Regions from separate parts of the Mus musculus genome. Here regions 2, 3 and 4 are each reported to be linked to region 1. Evidence: microRNA targets listed by miRTarBase, many of them from high-throughput screens and not tested one by one. Region 1 holds a microRNA gene; each other region holds the end of a gene's coding sequence.

Region 1 (4,151 bases):
CTCCAGGAGAGCCAATCAAGTCCTTGTGGATGTCATGTCTCAGTGTCCTCTTTATTAGGATGTCACAGGTAAATTCCTGTGGCTGGTGCCAAGACAAACTGCCTAGAACATTTTATTTGCTGGCTTGCTCTGATTAAAGTGGAGAACGCACTGCACTTTCTCGTTTGTGGTCACCTGCTAAATCTTTACCTTATTTCTGGTGTTGCCTAACACAGCGTCTCATACACAGCAGAAGAGAAAGAGTCACTAAATGAATGAATGAATCTATTTCCTATTTCCTTCGAAATTTGAGCCTCTGCACAGGCTGAGATGTACTGGCGTGCTTTGTGTTGTTGTTGGAGGTGGAATCTGGGGTCTTGTATATGCTGGGCAAGTGTTTCATCATTGAGCTATAACCCAAGAGCTAAAAAACTTGTTCCGGTGGCATTAGGGTAGCAGACAATTTTTGGGGAAATGAAGTTTGTTTCCAGAAGGCCTAGGGCTGTGGAATCCTGGGTATAATGGATGCTTAGAAGAGAAGAGATGACTTCAGGTCTCAAGGACTGAGGACATGTCCCTAGTTTTCAGTGACTGGCTTTTATACCACCAGAAGCTCTGCACACTCTGTACTGACCCTTTTCCTGTGAACTTCCCTGTGTAACATTTGTTCCTCTGTTTTATCAGCTGAATGATGGAACCTCACAGCCAAGAACTTTGAGAGGTCAAAAGGACCTGGCTGCTTCCTGCAGGTGGCAATGGCTTCCTTTCTTCTTCAGCCTTTAGACAGTTTGGATTTCAAATTATTCCATCACTTTCTAGAACATTCCAGATCCAAGCTCTCCTCTCCTATCACAGATGTATTCTGCAGCGCTGGGCCTCTCTACTGCATGTGGTTGTGGGAGAAGAAAGCCGCTGAGGTAGTTGAAGCCATGTTTAGCTTTTAGTTCTGTGAGGCAAGAGGGCCAGGACAGAGCATTTCCCCTTCCCTGTCAAGATATCAGCACCTGCTTGGGAAGCCAGAAGATGGAGGAGTAAAAAAGCTCCTGTTCCTCGGGGGCTTGCAGGTAAGGTCACGGCCAGTGCAGAGGTGCCAGTCTTCTCCTGCCCTATAAGGCTGCTGCTACCTGTGAAAGATCAGTGCAGTTGCTTACCTGTCACCTAGGCCAGATGGAGACACAGCCATCGGAGTCACAATTAGTAACACCTACTCACCATACACACACATGCACATGCACACATATACACATATATTCACATACTCACACACATGCACATGTACAAACATATACACACACATACTCACATGTACATGTACACACACACACACACACACACATATATATGTATATACACACCTGCACACACACACACACACACACACACACACACACACATATCAATAGAGAACATGCATATACACGTACATGCACTCATGCACATGCACACCCATGTGTATATGCACACACATACATACACATATACACATATGCATGCACACACACACATACACTTATTTCTATAGGAGGGTGTACATGAATGTATATCACATGCACACATGTATATGTGTGTGAATATAGGTGAATATACAGCCCCTCCCATCCTGGAAACTAGCACATTCATATAAGACACCATAATACAGCTTTTCAATATTTTCTTTTCTGTAAGAAAGTAGGGAATTGACTGAAGTCCAGGGCTGTTGCAGTTCAGAAGTTCGGCTCTTTATCTAAATGTGGCCCTGAGAGTTAGGCAGCAGATGGAGGTAACATGGCAGCTTCCAGGGCTTGGAGTCAATGACTTCAATGAACAAAAACAGACACTTTCTTTTACTCGCTCCATTGAGAACATGACCACACATTCCTGGCTCACAGGAGACCCCTAAATCTGGAGGCCACTCCACGATGTCTCCTCATCCTTAAAGTAGAAAGTGGGACTGCGGAATCTGTCATGTGCTCCATCTTGGGCCACTGATGGGGTCTGTGTGAGATGAGATCTGATTTGCCTCGGTTATTCTGGGATGCACATTGGCTACTCTGCCCACTTCATCCATTCTGAGCTACTACCAATCTCCATCCTTACAGGCAGCAGCCAATTTGAAACGTACAGTTGTATACTCCCACTTCAGGTTACTTTTGCCAACACATATTACCTTATGTTTATTTGAGTTAAGTTTCGTCTGCCTGCAGGCTGCACAATCCCCCAAAGTGTTCCGATGCACCTGGAATTTCTTGCAAATCTTCTCTGTTTTTATTAGCCACAACAGTTTGGAACTAGTTGAAACCTCTGGGAAGAGATTAGACAACAATTACTGCCCGTTGCTCATGTAATGTCTGGCCAGGTACATGAGCCAGCAGGCCTTGCTTGGCGGGGTGGGGGTGGGTGGGCATGATAGCATTTCTATCCACTGGTCTGTCTTTTGAACTCTCAACTCTGGACAGGTACCAGGGAGCCAGCCTATCCTTGGGGTGTATGTCTACACAGGGGCATAGAGCTGTCTTATTTACAGGTTTTAGAAGCTACTGCTCTGGAGCCAAGGGAATGTGTGTTATCAAGGCCCACTCTGTCTGGTCCCCTTGGATATTACAGAAAGAAGGGACAGAAGAAGAGAGCCGAGGGAGGGGAAGGAAGCTTGCAGCACTGCTCGCTATGCTGGGTTCTGTAAAATCAGGTGATTAGACATGGGAGGAGGAAGGACAGAAGTATCACCCTTCGGACTCCTCTGGAGAGGCTGAGACATCACCATGGTCACATCCTGGAATCTGGGAATGAGGACTGGTTGAGGCTGGAAGCCACTGTCCTCAAGACCAGGTAGGACATCAAGGACCAGTTCCACGAGCCAGGATGGAGGAGGTGAAGCGGGCTGCTGCTTGCGGAAAGCAGCTTCTGTGAGCAAGGCTGGTGTGTGGGCAGCAGCTTAGGCTGAACGGATCCCAGAGCGTTCCAGCGAGCTAATCTTGTCAGCCTCAAGCTGTTCCACAGACAGTGGGTGTGAATCCAAAGCCATCTTAGATGCTCAGCTCTCAAATGTTTCTTTTAAGAAAATAAAAAAAGAGAGATTGAAGGTACACCAGACCCAAATGGGCCAGTTACCTGGGAAGGTTAGACTTGTGAGCTGTGAAGTGCAAGTATGCAGATGTTAGAGACGATGGGATGAGATGTGTGTATGGGGGTGGATGTCTCTTCTCTGTCAGCTATATCCCTGGATGAGAGTGTCTGTCTCCTTCTGCCTCAAGGATACTGTATATATCTGCTCCACGTGTAGAAGCAGAAGTCAGTGGTATCCAGTCTCCAGCCCTGGACTCGTCTTCTCTCCTGTTGTCTCTGCTTTCATAGTCAGTTGACTGTGCCTGCTTAAACTGTGCACATATAGAAACTAAATCTTGAGGAAGGAGGAACCCTAGGAGAGTAATATAATCCTGATCCTGACTTCTAATTAATCTCTATGGGGAGAAAATATCTTATGTCTGTATGCATGTGGCAACTGTCAGTAATAAATTTGATGACCTATAACTTGGCAGGAAATAGGAGGTAGGACATCTGTGAGGTAGAAAGGATTCTGGGATAGTGCCAGGTGGGAGATACACTGGGGAAGATGTGACAAGACAGATACCTGGTACCTGAGCACAGGTAACCAGCTATGTGGCAAAATGTAGTTGAGCATAGGTGGGTTATTTTAAGTTCTGACCTAGTTAGAGAAGAGCCTAGCTGTATGGCCAAGGTATTGTAAACATATTTTGAGTCTGTGTCTTATTTCTGGGAGCATGGGAATGGGAGGAAGAACAACCTACCTTCTGTATCCCTACTCTACCATTAGTCTCCTGTCCCTCTGTCCTTCATCTTTCCATGGCTGCAGGGAAGACCTGATGCTCAAGATGAGAAATTAAAACCACTGTCCCGGGGGGTGGGGGGTGCGGGGTGTTACATGGACTGTAGTCTGGGTCAACCAGAGTCACACTTGAAAAGGGGAATCAGATCACACTGATTCACAGCAACACCTATGACCCCTTTAAATAATGAGTGGCGATTTCATGTTACTAGCATGCTGTGACAGAGCATCACAGATCACACGGCTTAAACATTAGGTATTTACTCATAATCTTGAAGGCTCAAAGTAACAGCACAAGTGTTGGCAGGGCTGCTGTCTCCCGAGGACTATGAGGAGGAATCTTTGAGGC
Region 2 (4,000 bases), not on the chromosome of region 1:
AGAAAATGCTGATGTTGGCCCAGGGTTATTTGACTTTCTGGCTAGGTCTACTCACTGCTCAATACTGTTCCTGGACTAAATCTCCATTTTTCATTTGTTTCTTTCTCAGGTAAAAGGACCTGGAATTGGGCTGCTTGGGATTTCCAAAGGGGGTGAACTTGGCCTTGCTATGGCCTCCTTCCTGAAGGGCATCACAGCTGCTGTGGTCATCAATGGCTCCGTGGCTGCTGTTGGGAACACCATCTCCTACAAGGATGAGACTATACCCCCTGTGTCCCTTCTGAGAAACCAAGTCAAAATGACCAAAGATGGTCTCTTGGATGTCGTGGAAGCTCTGCAAAGCCCTCTGGTAGACAAGAAGAGCTTCATTCCCGTGGAAAGGTCTGACACGACCTTCCTGTTCCTCGTAGGTCAGGACGACCACAACTGGAAGAGCGAGTTCTATGCTGATGAGATCTCCAAACGCCTGCAGGCGCACGGGAAGGAGAAGCCCCAGATCATCTGCTACCCAGCAGCAGGGCATTACATCGAGCCCCCTTACTTCCCGCTGTGCAGCGCTGGCATGCACCTCCTGGTGGGTGCCAACATCACCTTTGGAGGGGAGCCCAGGGCTCATGCCGTGGCCCAGGTGGACGCATGGCAGCAGCTCCAGACTTTCTTCCACAAACAGTTGGGTAGCAAGAGTTAGGGACTGTCCTCTAAAATATAACCTATTAGTTGATGGTTTGGGGGAAACCTCATATATATTATCACAATGTCAGTTCAGGTTAGTTCATTTGAACATATTCTAATTTTTTAAAGTTTCTTTCTTTTTTCTTTTTTCTTTTTCTTTTTTTCTTTTCTTTTTTTTTTTTTTTTTTTTTTTTGAGACAGGGTTTCTCTGTGTACCCTTGGCCGAGACCAGGCTGGGCCTGAATTCAGAGATCGGCCTGCCTCTGCCTCCCAAGTGCTGGGAGTAAAGCCACGCCCAGCTTATGTTTTTTCTCAATATAATAAGTGCCTATGAAGGACTGAGGATATATAGAGCTTGGTGGTAATGCATTCGTCTTTCTTCCATAGTGCCCAGAATTCATTCCCCAGTGCCGTAAGACGACAAAGAAATTAAAACTTTCTTATAAAAATGTGCCTGTGGACCTGGTGAGATGGCTCCGTGGTAAAGGTGCTTTCTGCCAAGCCTGACAACTTAAGATTTTTTTCCCCCAGGGTCTACATGGTAGAAGGAGAGAACAAACTCTGACAAGTTGTCCTCTGACACACACAAGTGCTTGTGCGCGTGTGCGTACGCGCGCACGCACACACACACACACACACACACACACACACACACACACACGCGCACACACACACCACATGTGTAATTTTAAAATGTGCCTATCCAAAAAAAAAAAAAAAAAAAAAACAGAATTCTTTTATGTCATGAATTAAGGGGGAACCTTAAGTGTAAATATTCTTATTAAAATAAAAACTAGCTCATTATAGACAAAACTATGTTGTCCTTCCTTCAATTCTTGGGCCAGTGTTCCCACTCTTGTCATCCTTCCAGAAGTGGCTTTTGGGTGACTGTTCAGATACTTAACACACGTCTAGCAGCAGCGAAGAAGAGAAGGGGTTTTGTTTGTTTGGGTTTTTTTTTTTTTTTTATGCACACATCCAACAAGAACATCAATTTTACAAAGCAAACCAATGTTGGGAAGAGAACCTCTTGGTGTTTTGAGCTCTGTCATGGTGACATGAGGGGAGGATGAACATTTAGTCCAGGAGGCAGCAGAGCAGCTGGGGAAGGAAACAGAAGCCAGGAATCCCATGTGTGCCAACCTTCAGACCTGTCTTCGAGGCAGGGAAGAGGATGTGTGTGAGCAAACGCTCTCATTCCCGCACATTTAGGCCACAGCCACCTGCCAGTCAGAGAGTGGTCAGCACAGGAGGAGGGATTTCTTTACCCATTGCTAGGCTCATGCTTGATCCCCTATAACACAAGACAGGCAGTAAAGAGACGGCTATAGAACCCGAGTCAGAGTTATTATTTTTCATCACATGTGTGTCCGTGTGTGTCTGTGCAGGTGCCCACAGAGGCCACATGATTTCAGTTCCCCTGGAGTTGGAGTTACAGGTGGTTATGAGCTACCTAATATGGGTGCTAGGAACCAAACTCTGGTCCTCTGTGAGAGCTCGTAAGTGCTGAACCTTCTCTGCAGCCTCTGAACCATGTTTAATTAAACCATGTTTAATAAAAGGGTTGCATGAGCTGATTCAGTGGGAAATGGGACTGGCTACCAAGCCTGACAAATGAGTTCAATCCCTGGACCCCACCTGGTGGAAGGAGAGGACTGATTCCAGCAACTCGTCCTCTGACCTTCACACGGGCACCATGGCACACGCCTGCCCCCCAGTATACAGATGAATCATTTTTAAAAATTCAAACTGTTGCCAGGCGTGGTGGTGCACACCTTTAATCCCAGCACTCGGGAGGCAGAGGCAGGTGGATTTCTGAGTTCGAGGCCAGCCTGGTCTACAAAGTGAGTTTCAGGACAGCCAGGGCTACACAGAGAAACCCTGTCTCGAAAAACCAAACCAAACCAAACCAAACCAAACCAAACCAAACCAAACCAAACCAAATCAAAAACAAAAACAAAAACAAAACAAAACAAAAACCAACAATAACAAAAATCAAACTGTTGCATGGCATGAGAGCCTTCAGAAACTAAGACCCAGGTCTGGGGGGTGGGCAGAGGTGGCTCAGTTAAGAGCACAGTAAGCATGAGCCAGAGATCAAGGCAGATTCCTCTAATAAGCCTGAAAGTCATCAGGCTTTCTGCTTCGGGGTCCTGCCCTGAGTGCCTGCTCAGTGCTGGACTGTGTCCTGGAAGTGTTAGCCTTTTGCGTCCCACTCGACGGGCAAGAAAGACGCAACAAACCGGAATCTTCCACAGCAAAAGCTTTATTGCTTGCTTCTTCAGGAAGACCCCAAACCGGGAAAATGGCGCCGTTTTTATAGCCTGCAGCGTGACATTTCAGCACCTGATATGGCGTGACAGCTCCTGATTCGTTGCTCGCCCATCACCCCACTATTACACCTCGAGAATAGGAGTGACTAGGAGTGAGTTCACTCTCGCACCTGCGTACAAGGCTTGTTTACTAGTTAGGCACAGCGGAGGCCAGCGCCATCTTATAATGGTGATTGCTCTCGGCACGGCTCTCCACAGCGATTACTGGCGGCACGCACCTCGTGGCACGGCTCTCCACATTAGCCAAATAAACCCTTTCCTCCCTAAGTGCTTTTTGGTCATAGCATCTGTCACAGTGACAAAACTCAAACATTAGGTGGCAGAAGCTGGGAAGGTTAGCAGGGGAGGACAGTAGGACTGGCTGGTTATGGGTACAGTGGAAGTCTAGATTCTTGGGTTCTGTAGCACAGTATCTATCGCACAGATCGATTTTTGTTGTTGTTGCTGGAGATAATATTTTTGTTATTTTATGTGTTTTGCCTGCACATATGTCTGTGCACCACCTGCATGTCTGGTACCTGTGAAGGGCAGAAAGGGCATTGGATTCCCCTGGAACTTGACTTACAGATGATTATAAACTGCAATGTGGTTGCTGGGAATTGAACTCTGATCCTCTGGGAGAGCAGCCACTGTATTTAATCACTGAGTCATCTCTATAGACCTGGTGCTGGAGATCAAACCCAGTACGAGCAAAGCATAGAATCTACCATTATACCCTTATGGTGGTTTGAATAAGAGTGGCCCCATAGGCTCATAAATTTGAATGCTTAGTCATCAGAGTGGCACTACTTGAGAAGGATTAGGAGGTGTGGCCTTCTTGAAGTAGGTGGTCTTATTAAAGGAATAATGTCACTGGGGGTGAGCTTTGAAGTTCCAAAAGCCCAAGCCAGGCCCAGTGTCTCCTCTCTTCTTCTGCTGCTTACAGATCCAAGTGTAGAACTCTCAGCTATTTCTCCAGCACCCTGCCTGTGTGAGGTCGTGCCTCCTGCCATGAT
Region 3 (4,000 bases), not on the chromosome of region 1:
GGAGAGATGACTCAGTAATTAAGAGCGCTGACTCCTCTTCCTGAGTACCTGGGTTCAATTCCCAGGATCCACATGGCAGCTCACCACTGTCTGCTATTCTACCTCCAGGGTTCCAATACTTTCATGCAGGCAAAACTCCAGTACACATAAAATAAAATAAATTTAGAAAGGTCTATGGGTTCATGTATGTCTTGCCCTTGCCACTCACTATATTCTATGTCTATACTCTCCTCATTTTATAGGTAAGACACAAAGCTCAGCTATGTAACTTACCCCAATTAGTTTATACCTAGCAGTTGGTGCAGTTGGGGGTCTAAATAAAACTGTGAGTTTGTTTTTGTTTTTGTTTGTCTGTCTGTCTTTATTTTTGTTTGTTTTTCATGAAATGGGTTCTTGCTGTGTGACCCTGGCTGGCTGGGTACTCTGCCCATAGCCCAAGTTGACCTGGAACTTGAAGTAGACCTCCTGCCTCAACGTCCCTGAGTCCTGGAAATACATCACTACCATGTTGCGATAACCCATGCTTTTAACAACTAAATAAAATTCCATCTGGAATTTCATAATTATGAATAGTTAATGTTTGCTAGGAAGTTTGGGGTTTAATAACTTGATGTTGTAGTCCACTGATTTCAAATTCCAAACTCTTTCTGGTTTTGTTTTATGTAGAGAGCCTTGGGATTCTAAAAGACTATCCTCACTCTGCATTCACCTTGGAAAAGAAAGTTATTAAAACAGAGCCTGAAGACTCAAGATAGCTGAGATGCTCCTACTGTTCTCTGGAAATGGCACCAGATTCAAGGATAATGCTCCATCATAGATTAAGCCTTAATAACCAGTGTTGCCTCATTCAGCTCACAGACCATAGCCAAAGCATAAGAACCCACACAGTAGTCTGTGGACATCAGGACAAAACAACAACCACAGAAGAGGGAATCAAGAGAGCATTGCAATGTAACAGACACTGACCACTTACCTTCCTGTGTAAGCTGCTTGTGTGGAAAGGCTCAATATTGTAGGCATTCACTATTTAAGAATGTACAACATGTCTTTGTAATTTATAGAAACAAGTCTAGGTGTTGATACCTTGTGGTCTAATAGATGTGGATACCATTCATTTTACTTGAAATTTTGTTGTCTACTTTAAGTGTATTTGCCATAAATGTTACTCGTCAGCAATTAGAACTTTTGCAATCATAGAAAGAAAGTCTGGGCAATGTAGTTATTGGCAAGGTGACTGGAGAAAGATGGAAGATAAATACACAATTTACACCAAGGAGAAGACTGTGTGTTTAATACTTGATAACATTGATTTTGATTAATAGGAAATATGTAGCTGTCGCTAAATAATGTCACCTTCATTGGTTTAATCAATGCACAAATTAAAAATTGGAGTAACATTCCCAAAATGAGGTAGGCTATATTTATGGCAGCTGCTTAAGATGTAACAAAGGTTGGACAGAGGACATGAAATAAATGGGTTATTGTGTAAAAGCCTTGACTTAAAAACATTGATATTTCAGAATATGTTAAACAAATTAAGGCATAGTAAGATAGCCCTAAATGTGATAAAGATGATGGATGATGTGGGTGAATGGACATGGAATGTGTGTCTTGTTTTCAGTTCTGCTTTAGATCATGCTGTTATAGATATGAGTTCCTAATCTGTTATACTGAAATCTGTTGGCCAGATGTTAGGTGAGATGTGTGCACCACCACAGGCTCTAAGCAGTCACATAGATAGTCACTTTTCAATTTGATCTGTAGAAGAGTTCTACAGTAGAAACACCAGTAAACAGCTTTACTACAACTACAAGGCTTTTCCCTTCCTAGATGATTCTATTGGACCATAGCACCTTGCCCACTAAAAACTATCTTAGGGACCATGTGCCTCTGTTTCTACCGTGAGGTTGATTATTGTGGTCTCACTGTCCACTGTGTGTAGAGCTAGTGTGATACCATTTAAATAGAATGTTCAGTTTTTAATATTAGCCACAGCACTGGATATTATCCCTATACTTTCATGAACCGTTTCCTGTGTTCCTTAATCTATTTTGAGAAATTTTGTGGTCCTTTTTCTTTTAAAAAAAAAAAAAAACAAAAACGAAAAACAAAAAAACTATGTCTTACAGTTCAAGTTCGTAGATTTTAACATTGCAAGTTATAAAAGATGCAGTAGTCTTCCAGCTGATATATATCTGTCTCTCCTGGACCTAGAACCTGCATTTTTAAATCCAGAAGAAAGTCTCCTTAAGTAGCATACTTTTCTGACTTCCAAGCTTAGAGATAGAGAAGAAGCACACACACACACACACACACACACACACACACACACACACACACACACAAATTTTCAGTAGAATACAATTTTTATCTTGTGAACACTAATGTATTAAACTTGCTATACATTAAAGCAAATAATATATATTTTTATTTGAATGGTATATATAAATTAGATGTTATAACTAGTGGGGTGTTCTTCATTTCATTTAAGATACTTCCACTGAACAAGGTCAATTGGTTACCTCAGTATTACAGCCAATATAACCCAAGGGACCATTTCTCCCTAAGTCTGTGTTATTCTTTATTGTGTGAATTCTGCATTTTTGTGATTCCTAAAACTGTTGAAGAGATGAGTGAACTTGCTTCCCGTGGCAATAAAGGATTTCTCTGCCTCACAAATCCTTGCTTAGAGTGCTTTGCATAGCACATGATGTTCGTCTATACTGCCTCCCTTACCGCATGTCGGGACAGGATGCGCTTCTCTTTTTTCCTGTGACACTGAGAGTTGAACCCAGAGGCTCTACCACTGATAGGCCCAGCACTCATGTTACTTTTTTATTCTGAGACAGGCTTCCTAACTTGCCGCAGCTGGCCTTGAACTCACTCTGTAGACCACACAGGTGGTGGTCACCTGGGGAGACCTTTCCTAGCCTGGGCTTCATACATTTCACTTTTGAAAGGGCAGAGTACTTCTGACTCAGCACCATGTTGTTTGTGACATTGATGCTGCTCTGAATCTTCAAAAGAAAACCAACCAGGTTGTCAACCCAATGAGAGCAGGAGCCCTGGTAGATTCAAGAGATTACAACAGCAAATATTTGATGAAAGCCCTCTTCTGACCCAGCGCTGTGCAAGGGTTGGTTCTGGGGATCCAAGAACGTGTATTTGCTGTTATCTCTGGGCGTTCTCATGAATGACATTCTCCAGTGGCCTTCAAGTTAACAAAGGATGACTCAGTGTCCACTGTTATTGAAAACACACATTGATGACAACTGTTTCCATAGCAACCGTGCAAGACAAACATTCCCGACACCTAAGAGATCAGAAGCCGACACTGTGATAATGCTTTCAATTCTGAATGTGTGGTGGCTAAATCGTCCAGGTCACCCCTGGATTCTGCTTTGGCTGACTTACGGAAATGAAGAAAACAATCACTTGTTCTTGTGCAGAAAATATGAAATCATAATTTAAGTTCATAATTCTTTTAAATTAGTCTTATGTTCTACTTACACATATTTTTCTGTCTATTTTTTTTACCATAGCTTTAGAAAGAATGATAAATAATAGCTGGTTTTGTTATAAATTCATTAGAACTCCTTCCTTCTTTCATATTTTCATAGCTGCTAGGCCACACGATTCTTGAGCACTACAGTATTCTTTTGAATTCTGGTCTCTTGGCAGTGCCTGATTCTTTGGTCATAATTTCTAAGACTGTTCTTTTGACTGCTCCATTTATGTCCAGATCTCACTTGTAAGACATAAAAGGGCTCATTTCTGCCAGTTCACCCTCAACCAAAGGAAAAGTTTAATATTGTTGTAGTGATTTAATATGATGTCTAGAACAGAAGCATTTAAAAATAACTCACCAAGCACTAAACTCGATTTTTTAGCATTCACATGACATGCTACTTACCATTAGCTTTCTCTTTTTATTTTTAAAATATTTCATTGATTTTCTATTTTTAAAGTAGTTAATTGGGCCAGTGTGATGATGCCCACT
Region 4 (4,000 bases), not on the chromosome of region 1:
AGAGTCACTATGGGCTGAAGGCCAGAAAAAGCAAGGTCTCATCTGCCTTGAGTGCCTTCCATAGCGTCTGGCATGGTAGCCATAGTCACCAAGAGCACATTTGGAGTGTTAAGGCTGTGTGGTCCTGTGCGGTCCCTCAGAGCTTATAGAGGCTGCACCTGTGTCACAAGGGCAGGTCTGAGACACTGGCTCCTCTTTATAAAAACATAGGTTTTCTGTGACTATCCCGGCCCTAAAGGTCGCTTCCTAAGGTGGAAAGAGCTAACAAGGGTAATGGCATCTTGCTTGGTTTCAGGATGAGTTTGACAAGCTGAGGCCCCTCTGCTACACCAACACAGACATCTTCCTGCTGTGCTTCAGCGTGGTGAGCCCCACATCCTTCCAGAACGTGGGCGAGAAGTGGGTTCCAGAGATTCGACGTCACTGCCCAAAGGCCCCCATCATCCTGGTCGGGACACAGTCGGACCTCAGGGAGGACGTCAAAGTGCTCATAGAACTGGACAAGTGCAAAGAGAAGCCGGTGCCTGAAGAGGCGGCGAAGCTGTGCGCGGAGGAAGTCAAAGCTGTCTCCTACATCGAGTGCTCAGCGTTGACTCAGAAAAACCTCAAAGAGGTTTTCGACGCCGCCATTGTTGCTGGTATCCAGCACTCAGACTCCCAGCTACAGCCAAAGAAGTCTAAAAGCAGGACCCCGGATAAGGTGCGGGACCTGTCCAAGTCTTGGTGGAGGAAGTATTGCTGCCTGGCCTGACTCTCGCAAATAGCAGGTGTTTAAGCTGCAACAGCTCTTTATGGACGAGGCTGTCATAGGATGAGCCCCAAAGCACCCTCTTCTGCCCTTAACTTCCTGTGTGCGGGAGCTTAGGGCTGAGATTCATATGCAAAATACGTTTTTTTAAAAATTGAAAGTTACATTTTTTTTCTGTTAAGTCTGGAAGCTTTGAGCTGTAGACCTCCGGATTAATTTATATTCCATATGAAAAGGGCTCTTCAAAGCGGGGTGTCAGCATGAAGTTCTGCTGTGTTGTACAGGACAAAGGAGAATGAATGGGACCTTCTCCTGATTAAGGGCTACTGAGGGCTCAGTGCAGGGCACGTGTGCACCAGGCTTGGTGAGAGTGAGCAAGCGTGAGCTTTGAAACCACACGAGCCACCCCCGGTTTTGTAAGGGCAAAGATCTGAAACCAGCAAGGGCCTTCTGCTTACGAAACCTCGAGCCCATCCCTTCTGTTTACTCAGATTCTCTTAGGATTTTAAAACAACCAAACATCCCACAGCCTACTGGCATAGTGTTGGCGAACAGTGCACTTGCTTGTTACGGTTTTGTTTTGTTTTTTTAAATCACGTGACCAGTTATATTGCTATGAAAATGGTGGAGATGCCTCGTAGAAGGCGAGTGCTGGGTGCACATGTGACATTTTCTTCAGGGAGCGACTCATGGTGAGACCAGAGAGGGCTCTTAGCTTGCAGGACTGGCTTCTGCAGGGCATCTGTGTCCTGCTGTTAAAAGCAGGAGGAGGTGCTTGTCTGGGAGCTTTAAGTGTGCTGGGCTCATATCGTCCCGTTTGCAAGGAATTGGGCCACCTTGAGAGGCCATAGTTGATGGCTATGGGACACACACACACTTTTTCCTTAAGTCCACCAAAATGCCTGCCTGTACACACACACACACACACACACACACACACACACACACACACTGGCTGGTTTGCTGATGGAACCCTTAGACCACCCTCCCACCCCCACCCCTCCCCAAGCATGGCTGCAAGTGTCAGGGCACCACACCTTCCTCTTCTTGACATTTCTTTGAACAGACATCATTTTGTAGGATCTTAATTTATACATTTTTTTCAGGTCATAAAATGTGGGATGAACATACTTTGAACCCCAGTGCCTTCAGGGTCCATTGACTAGGGAGGCACTGTCTTAGGGGACAGGTATGTGCAAGGCCTTACCCACCAGTGGCTTCTCGCTGCAGGTCATGTTTGTGGCACTTGTTCTTTAAGGTGAGGGTCTTATGACCGACTGTTCTGAGACAGCCCTGTGTCAGGCAAGCTCTTTCACAGGGTTGTAGGTATTTCCAAGACGCCATAGGAACCAGACAGTGAATCATAGCTATCAGTTTGCTGTGGGCAAGGAACCTCTTTTTGGCCACCTGGTAACAAAATTTTATGTCTGTAAATTTTTTCTTGCTATTTAAAAAAAAAAATCAATCTTACGTTTTTCTGTAGGAAAAAAAAAAACAAGTAAAAGAACAGGCCATATTTCAGGTCAAAGGCTTCTTCCTGCTGGTAAATGGGACTGAAGACTTTCTTACATCATTATTAAAAGGCTAATTGCTGAACCACTAGAGTATATGAACTGTTTGTGAATGATATTAGCCATAGTCTCCTGAGGTGTTTCCTTGTGGCCTGAGTGGTAACATTGTTTTGCTTATGGAGATGCTGTAACTGACCTAGTGACTCAGCTTATCCTATTGTGCATGGCTGTCTGGAAAGCCAGCGTACAAGTGGGGCTTTGCCTGCCCTGTGTACAGAGGGTGGGTGGGAAAGAGTGAATTATTTAATTTTAAATGTTATAATAAAGCCAATGTAGTTGAGACCAAGGAAATGAGCATTGAGAACACAAACTTGAAGTCTGGTGCCAGGGTTGTTGGACCTCACACCCTGTCTCTGAGCCACCCGGAAGTGACATAAAGGACGCTGTGTGATCAAGTTCTGGACACTTTTCTGGGATGCGTACCACTGGACTATTTATGTCACAAATCTAGTGGGTTGACGCTGCCCTGCAAGTTTTCAATGTCCCTGCATCCTATGAAGTCATAATGTCTGACTGTACTGGAGGTTTTCCTGCATTTTTTACTTTTCGAAAATAGAGGTTTGGGCTGAGAATTCTAAACGCATGTGCCTGGGTGGGACGTCAAGTCAGGGTTCTCATCAAAGCTGAGAAGTGGCTGGAATGTTCAGCTTGGTGTCTGGGGAGGATCCTGTGAGCTATGTAGAGAGGTGGCTCTTCAGCCTGACTCAGTGTGGGCTGAACGAAGTACCTGCAGAACACACGGTAGCAGGCTCCAAAATCGTCACCTCAAGCATGCGTGCAAGCAAACTTCCGAGAACTCCGTTTTCTGCTCGGCAGACGTGTGAGCAGCTACCCAGAAGTCTCAAGCCAAAAGGGGAGCCTCGCTCGCTGGCTCCTCTGCAGGTGCCTTATCGACCTGTGCTCTTCTCTTTTCCCGTGTCAAAGATGTTGGACAGGATCTTGTACTTGAAACATACTACAAATGAGTTACTATGAAATAAATTCTGACCTGTGGACCGAGCTGCTCTTGCTTATTCTACTGAAAGGATAGAAGCTCAGATATGCCTTGGCCTGGACAGGTTCAGAAGCTTCCCTGTATTCAGGGAAAGTACCTAGTATCACACTCACTCAGTACTTCCTGTACCTAGTATCATACTCAGTACTTCCTGTACCTAGTATCACGATCACTCAGTACTTCCTGTACCTAGTATCACACTCAGTACTTCCTGTACCTAGTATCACGCTCACTCAGTACGGCTGTGGGCTCTGGTCTTGTTCTGATGGTTGGCACCCTCTGCATTTGTTTGTTTGTTTGTTTGTTTTGTTTTCCAGATAGGTTTCTCTGTATAACCTCCCTGGCTGTCTTGGAACTTGCTTTGTAGACCAGGCTGGCCTCAAACTCACAGAGATCTGACTGCGTCTGCTGCCCGAGTGCTGGGATTAAAGGCATTTGCCACCACGCCCGGCTTCCCTCTGCATATTTTGGGAAGGCCAGGTTACAGAGTGCAGACTCCAGGGGTGTACAGTGTTGAGGGAGACCTGAGGGCCTGAGAGCTTCATGTGTGACCACTTGGCCTTTCTTTCTACAGATGAGTCCTTGGGGGATGCAAATGGTGGGGATTTATCTATAAGCCACCAAGGAAGAGAAACAGGAGCCAAGACCCTGTCACCCTGCAGCCATGCACCTGAAGCCCTAGGTGCC

The links. Region 1 holds the annotated microRNA mmu-miR-466i-5p (UGUGUGUGUGUGUGUGUGUG, at 1,296-1,315, opposite strand). A microRNA usually pairs through its seed, bases 2 to 8, with sites in the 3' UTR of a target mRNA and lowers its output. Matches are read on the target gene's strand: a 7mer-m8 pairs with bases 2 to 8, a 7mer-A1 pairs with bases 2 to 7 and ends in A, and an 8mer does both.
Region 2: the mRNA of Acot2 is a reported target of mmu-miR-466i-5p. Seed matches in the 3' UTR shown: 7mer-A1 at 1,252-1,258, 8mer at 1,253-1,260, 8mer at 1,293-1,300, 8mer at 1,295-1,302, 8mer at 1,297-1,304, 8mer at 1,299-1,306 and 17 more.
Region 3: the mRNA of Nab1 is a reported target of mmu-miR-466i-5p. Seed matches in the 3' UTR shown: 8mer at 2,296-2,303, 8mer at 2,298-2,305, 8mer at 2,300-2,307, 8mer at 2,302-2,309, 8mer at 2,304-2,311, 8mer at 2,306-2,313 and 17 more.
Region 4: miRTarBase lists Rhou as a target of mmu-miR-466i-5p. Seed matches in the 3' UTR shown: 7mer-A1 at 1,614-1,620, 8mer at 1,615-1,622, 8mer at 1,617-1,624, 7mer-m8 at 1,619-1,625, 7mer-A1 at 1,659-1,665, 8mer at 1,660-1,667 and 17 more.

What each region holds. Positions count from the first base shown.
Region 1 is chr3:85,464,546-85,468,696 of GRCm38, reverse strand. Mir466k (microRNA 466k) reads right to left here and starts at 1,320; the gene lies at 1,199-1,320. The region is part of intron 1 of Gm31419 (a long non-coding RNA gene); the gene reads left to right.
Region 2 is chr12:83,992,393-83,996,392 of GRCm38, forward strand. Acot2 (acyl-CoA thioesterase 2) reads left to right here. Exons shown (of 3, transcript NM_134188.3): 3 at 110-1,485. The coding sequence ends at 688. Among named protein-coding and RNA genes, the nearest start is that of Acot2, 6.5 kb to the left of the region's middle.
Region 3 is chr1:52,455,973-52,459,972 of GRCm38, reverse strand. It overlaps Nab1 (Ngfi-A binding protein 1), which reads left to right. Exons shown (of 8, transcript NM_008667.3): 8 at 667-4,000. The coding sequence ends at 755. Among named protein-coding and RNA genes, the nearest start is that of Gm23460, 13 kb to the right of the region's middle.
Region 4 is chr8:123,660,566-123,664,565 of GRCm38, forward strand. It overlaps Rhou (ras homolog family member U), which reads left to right. Exons shown (of 3, transcript NM_133955.4): 3 at 296-3,315. The coding sequence ends at 751. Among named protein-coding and RNA genes, the nearest start is that of Rhou, 8.6 kb to the left of the region's middle.